2 linked regions of the Cricetulus griseus genome follow. The protein of the gene in region 1 interacts with the protein of each later gene in a pairwise test. Links are inferred from orthologs where the notes say so. Each region holds a gene or a part of one and is shown on either strand. Other genes may lie near its edges. The genes, in order: Smad9 and Lemd3.

Evidence for each region.
Region 2: the proteins of Smad9 (region 1) and Lemd3 interact in binary tests that used the Homo sapiens proteins (3 or more experiments, as listed by UniProt). The link is inferred for Cricetulus griseus from reciprocal best matches to the Homo sapiens genes SMAD9 and LEMD3.

The regions. Positions count from the first base shown.
Region 1 is NW_023276806.1:96,416,621-96,420,901, forward strand, and holds the start of Smad9 (mothers against decapentaplegic homolog 9), read right to left. Parts: upstream 3,055-4,281; 5' UTR 2,859-3,054; intron 1-2,858. UniProt on the Homo sapiens protein: Transcriptional modulator activated by BMP (bone morphogenetic proteins) type 1 receptor kinase. SMAD9 is a receptor-regulated SMAD (R-SMAD).
Region 2 is NW_023276806.1:135,840,834-135,845,420, forward strand, and holds the start of Lemd3 (inner nuclear membrane protein Man1), read left to right. Parts: upstream 1-1,744; 5' UTR 1,745-1,783; coding exon 1,784-3,407; intron 3,408-4,587.

The sequences.
Region 1 (4,281 bases):
TGAGTGTATGAGCAAATCAATGCTAAGCAATACAGGAGACGCAAAGGGCTCATAGAAAGACGCACCCACCACCAAGGAAATCTGAGAAAATTCCCTGAAGGTAGCAGGAGGGCAGAGTTCACAAAATATGGTGGGAGGTAAGGACAGAGGGGAAGGTATCCTGGGCCTGAATTCAAGAAATAGGCATTGAAGAGGAAAGCCTGGGGGTGCATGGAAACCTGTAAGGCACTCTTGTGTCCGCAGTGAGACACATGAGAAAATAAGCCTGGCAGAGGACACCTGAGTGTGCAGACAAGGGTACCTGGGGTTCAACATGCACCGGTGTGCATGAAGATGAGCACACAGTTTTCACAGCCCTGGTGACATCTAATGCTGGCCATTATCTTTAAATGGTTTTAGTTGGCACAGACATAATTTTCAGGAATGTTTGCTTTTAAGGCCTAGTTAATTGCCAGGGGATGTTTGTTTATTTTTGCTATGTTCCTATTCCTACACAAACATTCATCAAGTTAACATAGCACACCACTGCCTACTCACACCATCAAAATTAGGATGTAAGCATCTGCCTCCCTTGATTTAGGACAGCTTGCCAATTCACTAGCAACAGTAATAAAGGGAATAAAAACCCAAAGTCAAGGATTATAACAATTTGAGATTTGTATTTTCAATATACACCCAATTTACTGGATATTCTGCATACACCCCGATTTCTGAATTCCTAAGTGCTCACAAAAATAAACAGGAGTCTCCCCCAAGTTTTGTTCAGATGTTAGGATTTAATGTCAGATGTTACAAAAAAATAAAAACCAAGAACATTCATTGATCAGAACCCTGACCTTCCCACCACTGGAGCATCTCCTGGATATTAAAGCAGACTATGATGAAATTGTTTTCTTGTAGTGGAGAGGGAAGGTCAGATATCATTGGCTGCCTTAATGATGCAGTAACCATCTCTCTTCAACTTGGCAGCAAACATTGCACTCTCATTCATCAGCATTCAATTATTTGTAAAACTGATCTCAAATTGTTTTATTTGTGTGAAAGAACAATTTCTTGTTTTTTTTCTCCTCCAATTTGACCACATGATCAGAAAGAATACACAAATTTACCATCCATTCAGTGCTTCTATGTCTGTGGTGAAGTTTCTTATAAAACGGGGTGGGAATGCTAAGCAATACAGCAGTCTCCTGTATTGCTTAGCATTTTCTTCCTATATCTTAGGTTATCAGAGACGCAGTAGCTGATACTGGTGAATATCTTCTAATTTTCTCATTAACTATGGAATATGTAAAATAAGAGGAAAATATTTGATAAAGAAAACACCAACTGCCTCATGTTTAAGGTGCTTAATTTGCTTAAGACCTTAATTTGTCTTTGCTTTTTAGAAAATACTACTAGTAAGTGAGCTGGCTGCATCCAGACTATGCCAGCATTCTCCTAAGCAGAGTTCCAAACTGGAGGGGCTGGGGGGAGGGCGGGGAGGGAACCCCTGACAAAGCCATCCGCTCAAGCATAAAAGTGGGGGCTGGCAGTATCAGGACAGATCCAGCAAAGGCCAGCTTTCAGGAAGCTGACTTGCCATCAAGAAGCCTTACCACTAGAAGCTATTTTCAGAAATATTGGTCATCTTATCACATTTTAAATGTTCCTTGTTTATAAACCACCACACCGGTTTCTTATCTGTGATGTCCTTGGATTACCAATCATAGACTTGAAAGTGATCCAAAATCGAGTTCCCGCCTTCCTAGGAGCAGAGCTATGAATGCTGGTCATTTGCTGTAGAGTGTGCTTGAGCTGTATTTTCACTTGCCTTTTAAATATAAATGAATAGTTTCTACATGTAAACATCCGAGGGCATTGACAGGCAGGCTAGCACATTTCACAACCACAAATATTCCTGAGGAACTGCCTAGGAAGCGCCATCCTTAAAGGGCCAACGACCTTACCGTTATTCTCTGCTCTCCCTGATAGCTAAATTTTTACAGGAACCTAGCAAGCCGCCGCACGGTCACTGTGAACTGGATCCACTAAAAGTAATTCCTAGTGTTCCATGGCATGCATTCAACCGAATTACATACAATTTGCTTCCAAAACGAGATCCACATCATTTGTAGGTTATTTCTCAAAATTACCAGTTTTAGCCAAGAAATATCCCAGCGGAGGACCTCAAAACTATCATTTTCAATTGCCACGGCCGAGAGAGAGAGGGAGGAGAAGGAGTAAGAAGAGTGTGGCGATTAACCACCCATAAGAAGGCTCCCCACGCTCCTCCTCCCCATCACAAGGCCGGCGTCAGTCAGTCGCCTGCATCTGTCCCCACCTCGCCCCCTCCCGTCTGCGCAGAGCTGGCACCCAATGGTAGGCCCAGGAGAAGACAAACACAACCCAAGCGCTAGCTACAGACACTTAACATTCCTAACTTTTTTTTTTCCTCTCTCACTGTGTGTGCCTCAAAGGTAAGCAGAGAGGAAAAAATTACAGGAGTATGAAATAAAGCTTCATGGCCAAAGGCGCCCTGGAGTTTTAAAATCTCCCCCCAGACTACCTTACACACACTCACACTCGCCCCTCTGCTGTCCCCAACTCCCCAGCAAAGGGCTACTGCCCCAATCAGGGTTTCAGAGCGCCTGCTCCTGGGTGCAGGACAGTGTGCATCCCTCTGCACTTGGTCCACGCGCATCCTGCATCCTTGCCCACACCCCGGGTCACGCGTCCCCGGGATGGGTCCCAGGTGCCAGGCTGCCGCGGAGACCTCGCACATTACACTCGCCACCCAGGCTCCAGGGAGAGCCAAGCCCCATGCCAGAGAACCTCAGAGGCCTCCCAGGTGCCCACGCTCGCGGCGTGGCAGCGCTTACCTGTCCGTGTGGTGCCACGCGTGCCCCGCGCTCTCGGGCTGCGCGGTAGCTGCAGGGCCCGGGCGGGCGGCGGCGGGACCGAGACAGCGGCTCCAGAGGCGTCAGTCAGGCTGGAGCCTCCTCCTCGGCCGCCCGCGTGAGTGCGCCGCACTGGAAGGGCGCCAGGCTGCCGTGCGCGCAGCCCCAGCCAGGAGGGGCCGTGCGCTCTGGCCGAGCCGCGCTCCCCGCCCGCAGAGCTGCGCACCCGCTCGTCCTGCGCATGGCCTCTGCAAATGGCTTTCAGGGCCAGCGGGATCTCCAGGTCATCCCCCGAGGTGTCCTCCCCACCTGGACCTCAGGCAGTGGAGAGAGGGGGCCAGTCCCCCCCACCCACCCACCCAGAGGCAGACAGGACCACCAACCATATGTGGCTCCAGTCCTGGTCCCTTGAGGCCACACTTACTGGCTAGCTTAGCTGTTCCTTATCTCTGTATCCGAGGCATAACTTGCCTGGCACCAGCCCAAGAAAATCTGGCTGAGTGGCAGTGGAGTTTCAAACTAGTGCTGTAATGTTGTGGACTGTGATTTCTTACGCAGTGTATAATACATACTGTCTAATACTCAAGATATACATCATGGGCACAAAGAACCTTCCTGCCCAGCTGCCTGGCTGCCCCCTAGGTCGCCTGCCTTTAAAATGTCACTTGGGAAGTGGCACCTGTGTGTTGAAAGCCTTTGATTCCCCCACCAAACCTTATAGGTTTTCAAAAAGACAGAGGTTTTCAAAATGGCATTGGCCATCTCAGTTAGTTCCACACTGTAAGCATCCCCCAAGAGGCCAAAGCACCTTGGAAATGTAAACAAAAGCCCTTAGGTTGGACTTCTTCCCCTAACCCTAAAACCACCACTTTCTGGAACATGTCACTTTTGCATCATCATCCAAGGGTAGCTGAAGAAGGCTTTGCTTAAAATATATTGCAGAAGTGTAAATGATACTTGAACTTCAAACTGGAAGTATCTCTCTACAGCTGGTCCATATACCCTGCTGCAGGCCAGGTGTTGGGTGTGAGATTGCCCTGGGAGAGAAAAACACCCCAGAAAAAATACTGTCCAGTGTGGGGACCACTGAAAGTCATGGACTGGATGAGAGAATTTCATGTGCACCTAGAGGCAAGTAAACTAATTAGGTTCTCTGAATTGATAACTTGTGCCTCAACACCCACCCACCCCTTCCCCAGAAATGATATTAAAGAACTGATCCAATCAGTTTCCTCCTTCTCTGGGAGCACAAAGCCGTGAGAAACCTTTGATAGGCTGGTTCATGCTTCTGCCACGGAGGCTGTGAATCCACAGAATTCTCTGGAGGGTAGGTGTGGGGCAGGCCTCTAAGTGTGTGTACTCTGCCTTTTCTGGACGTTACTCCCAAAAAGGTTAGGGAGATAAA
Region 2 (4,587 bases), about 39 Mb from region 1:
AGATAATTCCTTATAGCGCATCTAGATGCTTGTCGCCTAGGTAACGTTTGGATCCAGTCAGGTTGACAGTAGACACCTGGGATTCTGACAAATCAGCAGAGTGGAGAACACATGTTGAACTAAGATGAAAACTGGAAAAAAGGACAGGGCCAATATCCAATTTTATGTAACACCCAGGTGAGCTACTTTGCTAGCCTGAGGTCCAGTAAGTTTGTGGGTCATCATAATCAGGATACAGGGTCAGACACTCTTGTAAGTGCTTAATAGTCATAGATTCAGGGACATTTGTGACATTTAAAGTCTCAGTGATAAAGAAAAAAGGGAAGTGGTTGTTCATATGAGAGCTTTCTTTTGAAGACAAGGTTTGCTGGAAATCAAAAATTGAGGTTAATATATATTTTTTTCTTTTCTGCTGGGGATACTGGGTATTGAAAAGCTAGCAGCTATGCTTTTAACTAACCTATTCCGAGTAGATGTTTTTATGTTATAGGGTAAAGCAACTCAAATAGAAACTATTGTAATGTTTCCTACATAGTGCTAGGATTGCCTACTAGCTTCTAGGACTTAAGGACTCAAAAAAAAAAATTATTAGCTCTGACAGGATTTGAGAAAAGAGGAAGCTTTCTTTGCCAAAATTGTCAAATTTCTTTCTCTGCTCTCAGATTCATTTTGCATTTTGTGAATAAGAAGGTAGAACTTCCAGCTATTATTTTCTTTGCGGAAAAGTTTATCGGCCTTACCAGATATCTTTCCCATGCTCCAAATTTTAATCTCATTCTATTACAGTTTGCAGCTCACCACCTCACTCAACAAATGTGTACTGTGTTGAAAACAATAGACACAAAGTTCTTCTGTACATGGAGCTTACAGCCAAAGGGGGCAAATAAATATTTCAAAATAAATAAAAATATTTATTATTGTTTGGGTAGGAGCCAGGAGAGCAGTAGAATCAGCTTGTCTTTCTTCTGCCAAAATGATTCAGATGGTAGGCTCTTTCATTCCTCCATGACTTTGTAAGGTCATCATCATACTTAGAAAACAAACAAACCCTAAAAAACAAAACAAAGAGAAAAAAAAAAACCAGAAAAGTTAATTACGTGCCCCATCGAAAGAGCAGCCATGATTTTTGAAAACTGTACTGTGAAGAACAAGCTCTTCCATTTCTTTCAAGAGAAGTCTCTGAAAAGCCATCGAGGAGAAAAAGTCATTAAAAAAAATTGCACGGAAAAGACAAAATGAAAAGGGAACAGACAGCAAAACCGCCAAGCCGGGATCCCTCTCCTCGACTCTCGGTGTCCTTGGCAGCAGGGATCCGAACAAGAAAAGTGTCGCCATGAACTTCAGGGCGGATGTCCTTCCCACGCCCGCTGCCCGGTGGCGGGACCCCGGGGAAGAGGTCAAGGTGTAGTTGCGACACTGGCTGCCAGTGGGATGGCATGTGGCAGCACGGGGCGCGGAGCGGCGACAGGGACAGCCGCAGCCACCGGGGGACACCTGGTTGGGGAGCATCCGCGCCGGCTCAGGTGGCGCTTTCCGGGGGACACGCCGGGGACCGCAGGTTGGGGAGCATCCACGCCATTCCGGGCGAGCAACTCGCCCGCCGGCTCGGCCGCCCGCCGCTCAGGTAGCGCTTTCCCGCTCAGGTGAGCTCCTCCCGCGTTTCCCATTGGCCCAGACGCCCGTGGCGCTGGGAGGGCGACGCAGGCAGCCCGGTCTAGTTCAGGGTCTAGGGCGGCGCGTCACTTCCGGTAGCGCGGAGCTTGTAAAACACCCTGGAGAGAAAATGGCGGCGGCGGCGGCGGCGGCGGCCTCGGCGCCCCAGCAGCTTTCGGACGAGGAGCTTTTCAGTCAGCTCCGCCGTTACGGCTTATCCCCGGGTCCGGTGACGGAGAGCACGCGGCCGGTGTACCTCAAGAAGCTGAAGAAGCTTCGCGAGGAGGAGCAGCAGCAACCGCAGACGCCGCAGCCGCCGCCGCAGCCGCACCGGGCGGGGGGCCGCGGCAGCAAGACGCGGAACAGTAATAACAATAACACGGCGGCGACGGCCGCCACAGTCGCGGCGGCGGGGTCGGCGGCGGCCTCGGGGATGGCGATGGCGGTCCGGCCCGGCTCGGGTGACCTCCCGTACTTACGGACCCCCGCGGGCCTGGGCCGCCTGGCGGCCTCGGTTCCCGAGAGCCCCCTGGGAGGATCCGGGGGCGCGGCGAGCGTCCCCTCGGCGGGCAGCAAAGTACTGCTGGGCTTCAGCTCCGACGAGTCGGACGTGGAGGCCAGCCCCCGGGAGCAGGCCGGCGGCGGCGGCGGCAGCGGCGGCGGCGGCGCGCGGAGGGACCGGGCTGCGCTCCAGTACCGCGGGCTCAAAGCGCCGCCGGCGCCCCTGGCCGCCGCCGAGGTGACTAACAGCGGCCACTCGGGCGAGCGCAGGAAGCCCCACTCGTGGTGGGCAGCGCGGCGGCCGGGGGCATTGGAAGCGCAGCCGCCGCCGCCGGCGCTGGCGCCGCCGGGCAGCGACGGAGCCGCCGAGGACGGGGACGAGGAGGTAGCGGACGGCGACGAGAGGGACCCCGAGGCCGAGGAGCCGCTGTGGGCGAGCCGAGCGGTGAACGGCAGCAGGCTCCTCCCGTACAGCTGTCGGGAGCACTACTCGGACTCGGAGGAGGAGGAGGAGGACGACGACGACGACGTGGCCTCCGGCAGACAGGTATCCAAGGACGACTCCTCGCTTGCCCGGCATCGGCCCAGACGGAGCCACCACAGTAAGCCCTTCTCGGCGCTGACTGCTAAATCTGGCGGCGGCCGGCTGGAGACTTCGGTTCAGGGAGGGGGAGGACTGACGATGAATGACAGGGCGGCGGCTGCCGGGAGTCTAGACTGGAGCCGAACCCTCGAGGAGGCGGCGGCCGAGCCGGGAGGAGGGTGCGAGCCAGTGGACTCCAGCCCGGTTCCTCGATACCGTGCTGGCGCCAAGAAGCTGGCCCCGCTCCTGGCCCCGCCGGTCCCTGACGTGGACTCAAGCTTGGAGTCGCCCACAGGTTCCCTTCTCAAAACCAATAATCACATAGGCGGGGGGGCCTTCGGTGTGGATCCCCCCGGTGTCTACTCCAACAGCCTCCCTCCCGGCGCGGCCGCCGCCTCCCCTGCCCCTCCATCACTCAGGATCAATCACGCCAACCATACTGGCTCCAATCACACCTACCTGAAAAATGCCTATGGCAAACCGAAGCTCTGCGAGCCTGAAGAGGAACTCCTCCAGCAGTTTAAACGGGAAGAGGTGTCCCCCACGGGGAGTTTCAGCGCTCACTACTTGTCCATGTTTCTCCTGACTGCTGCCTGCCTGTTTTTCCTGATACTGGGACTGACTTACCTAGGGATGAGAGGGACCGGAGTACCGGAGGATGGAGGACTCCGTAAGTATTAAGTAAACTCCGAGGGCCCAGGTTATCAGATGCAGACACGTTGCTTGCTGGTGATGACCATTACTTGCAAGAAATTTATTTGTTTTAACAGCGAAAGTGCCGCAGAATACATGCATCGGCTGTCTTTTGAGAAGGAACGGCGTACCATTACCAGAATGATACCTTAGGGCTGGTTTTTACATTTTTCTGCGTGGTGTGCTGGTAAATTCAGAACAACTTATCCAAGAGGAATGCTGTGCCAGTAAAAAGGCCCTTGAGTGTCCTAATGTCTTTTAGTTTTAAATAACTGCAGATGTCATCGGCTCGATGAGGTTGGAAGTAGTGCCACACATGCCATGTTTTCTTTTTTTAAATGTGTTATGATCGAAGACGACAGTGTACACACAATATAAGTAGTTCTCTAATTTCTATAAAGAGAACAGGTGTTGAGGAGGCAGCAGGACACACCTCTTCATTCACTTCTCAGTCTAGAGCACCTCCCCTTCCACCCGTGGAGAAAGTCGTGGTAACTTAGCACATGGAACTTGGGGGCAGATATCCTTGGTAAATGACTGTAAATAGGCAGGTGTGTTCGTTCATTCATTCAAACAGGGCCTTCCTCAGTACTGAGTATTGAGCAATGAAGACACAACAGTAATAGATCAAATCATTCAGGAGGATGACCACTATGTGTTCTGTGAGGAAATAAGGATAAAGTAACTGGTGTGGGCTGGTTTAGATTGCATGGTCAGAGGGTACTGTTTAAGGTAGACCTAAAAGTAAAGCTGGACAAAACAAAACAAAACAAAATAGTCTTGTAGAGCGGCTGCAGGACATTCTGGGCAGGGATCACAAGAAGCAGAAAGGACCTGAATGGGGTGAGAGATTTGCTGTAGTTACTGTGGCTGGAACTTCCCTTTGCTAATCGAGAAGACCATGCTAATATTGACTAGGATGAGGTTTATTAGGATTGGACGTAAATTAGTGTATAATGGACTGCTATGTTTCTTCCCATTTCCCTTGAAGTTTTCCTCCTAATATGAATTTGCAATATCATGGTTTGTATATATAAAGCTGGCTTACTATATATTTTATGCTACAATACTAAGATGGGTGCAGTTAGCAGAGCAAGTAGTGTGAGCATCGATTTCAGTATAACCAAGTCCAAGGAATGAATACATAAATGACCACA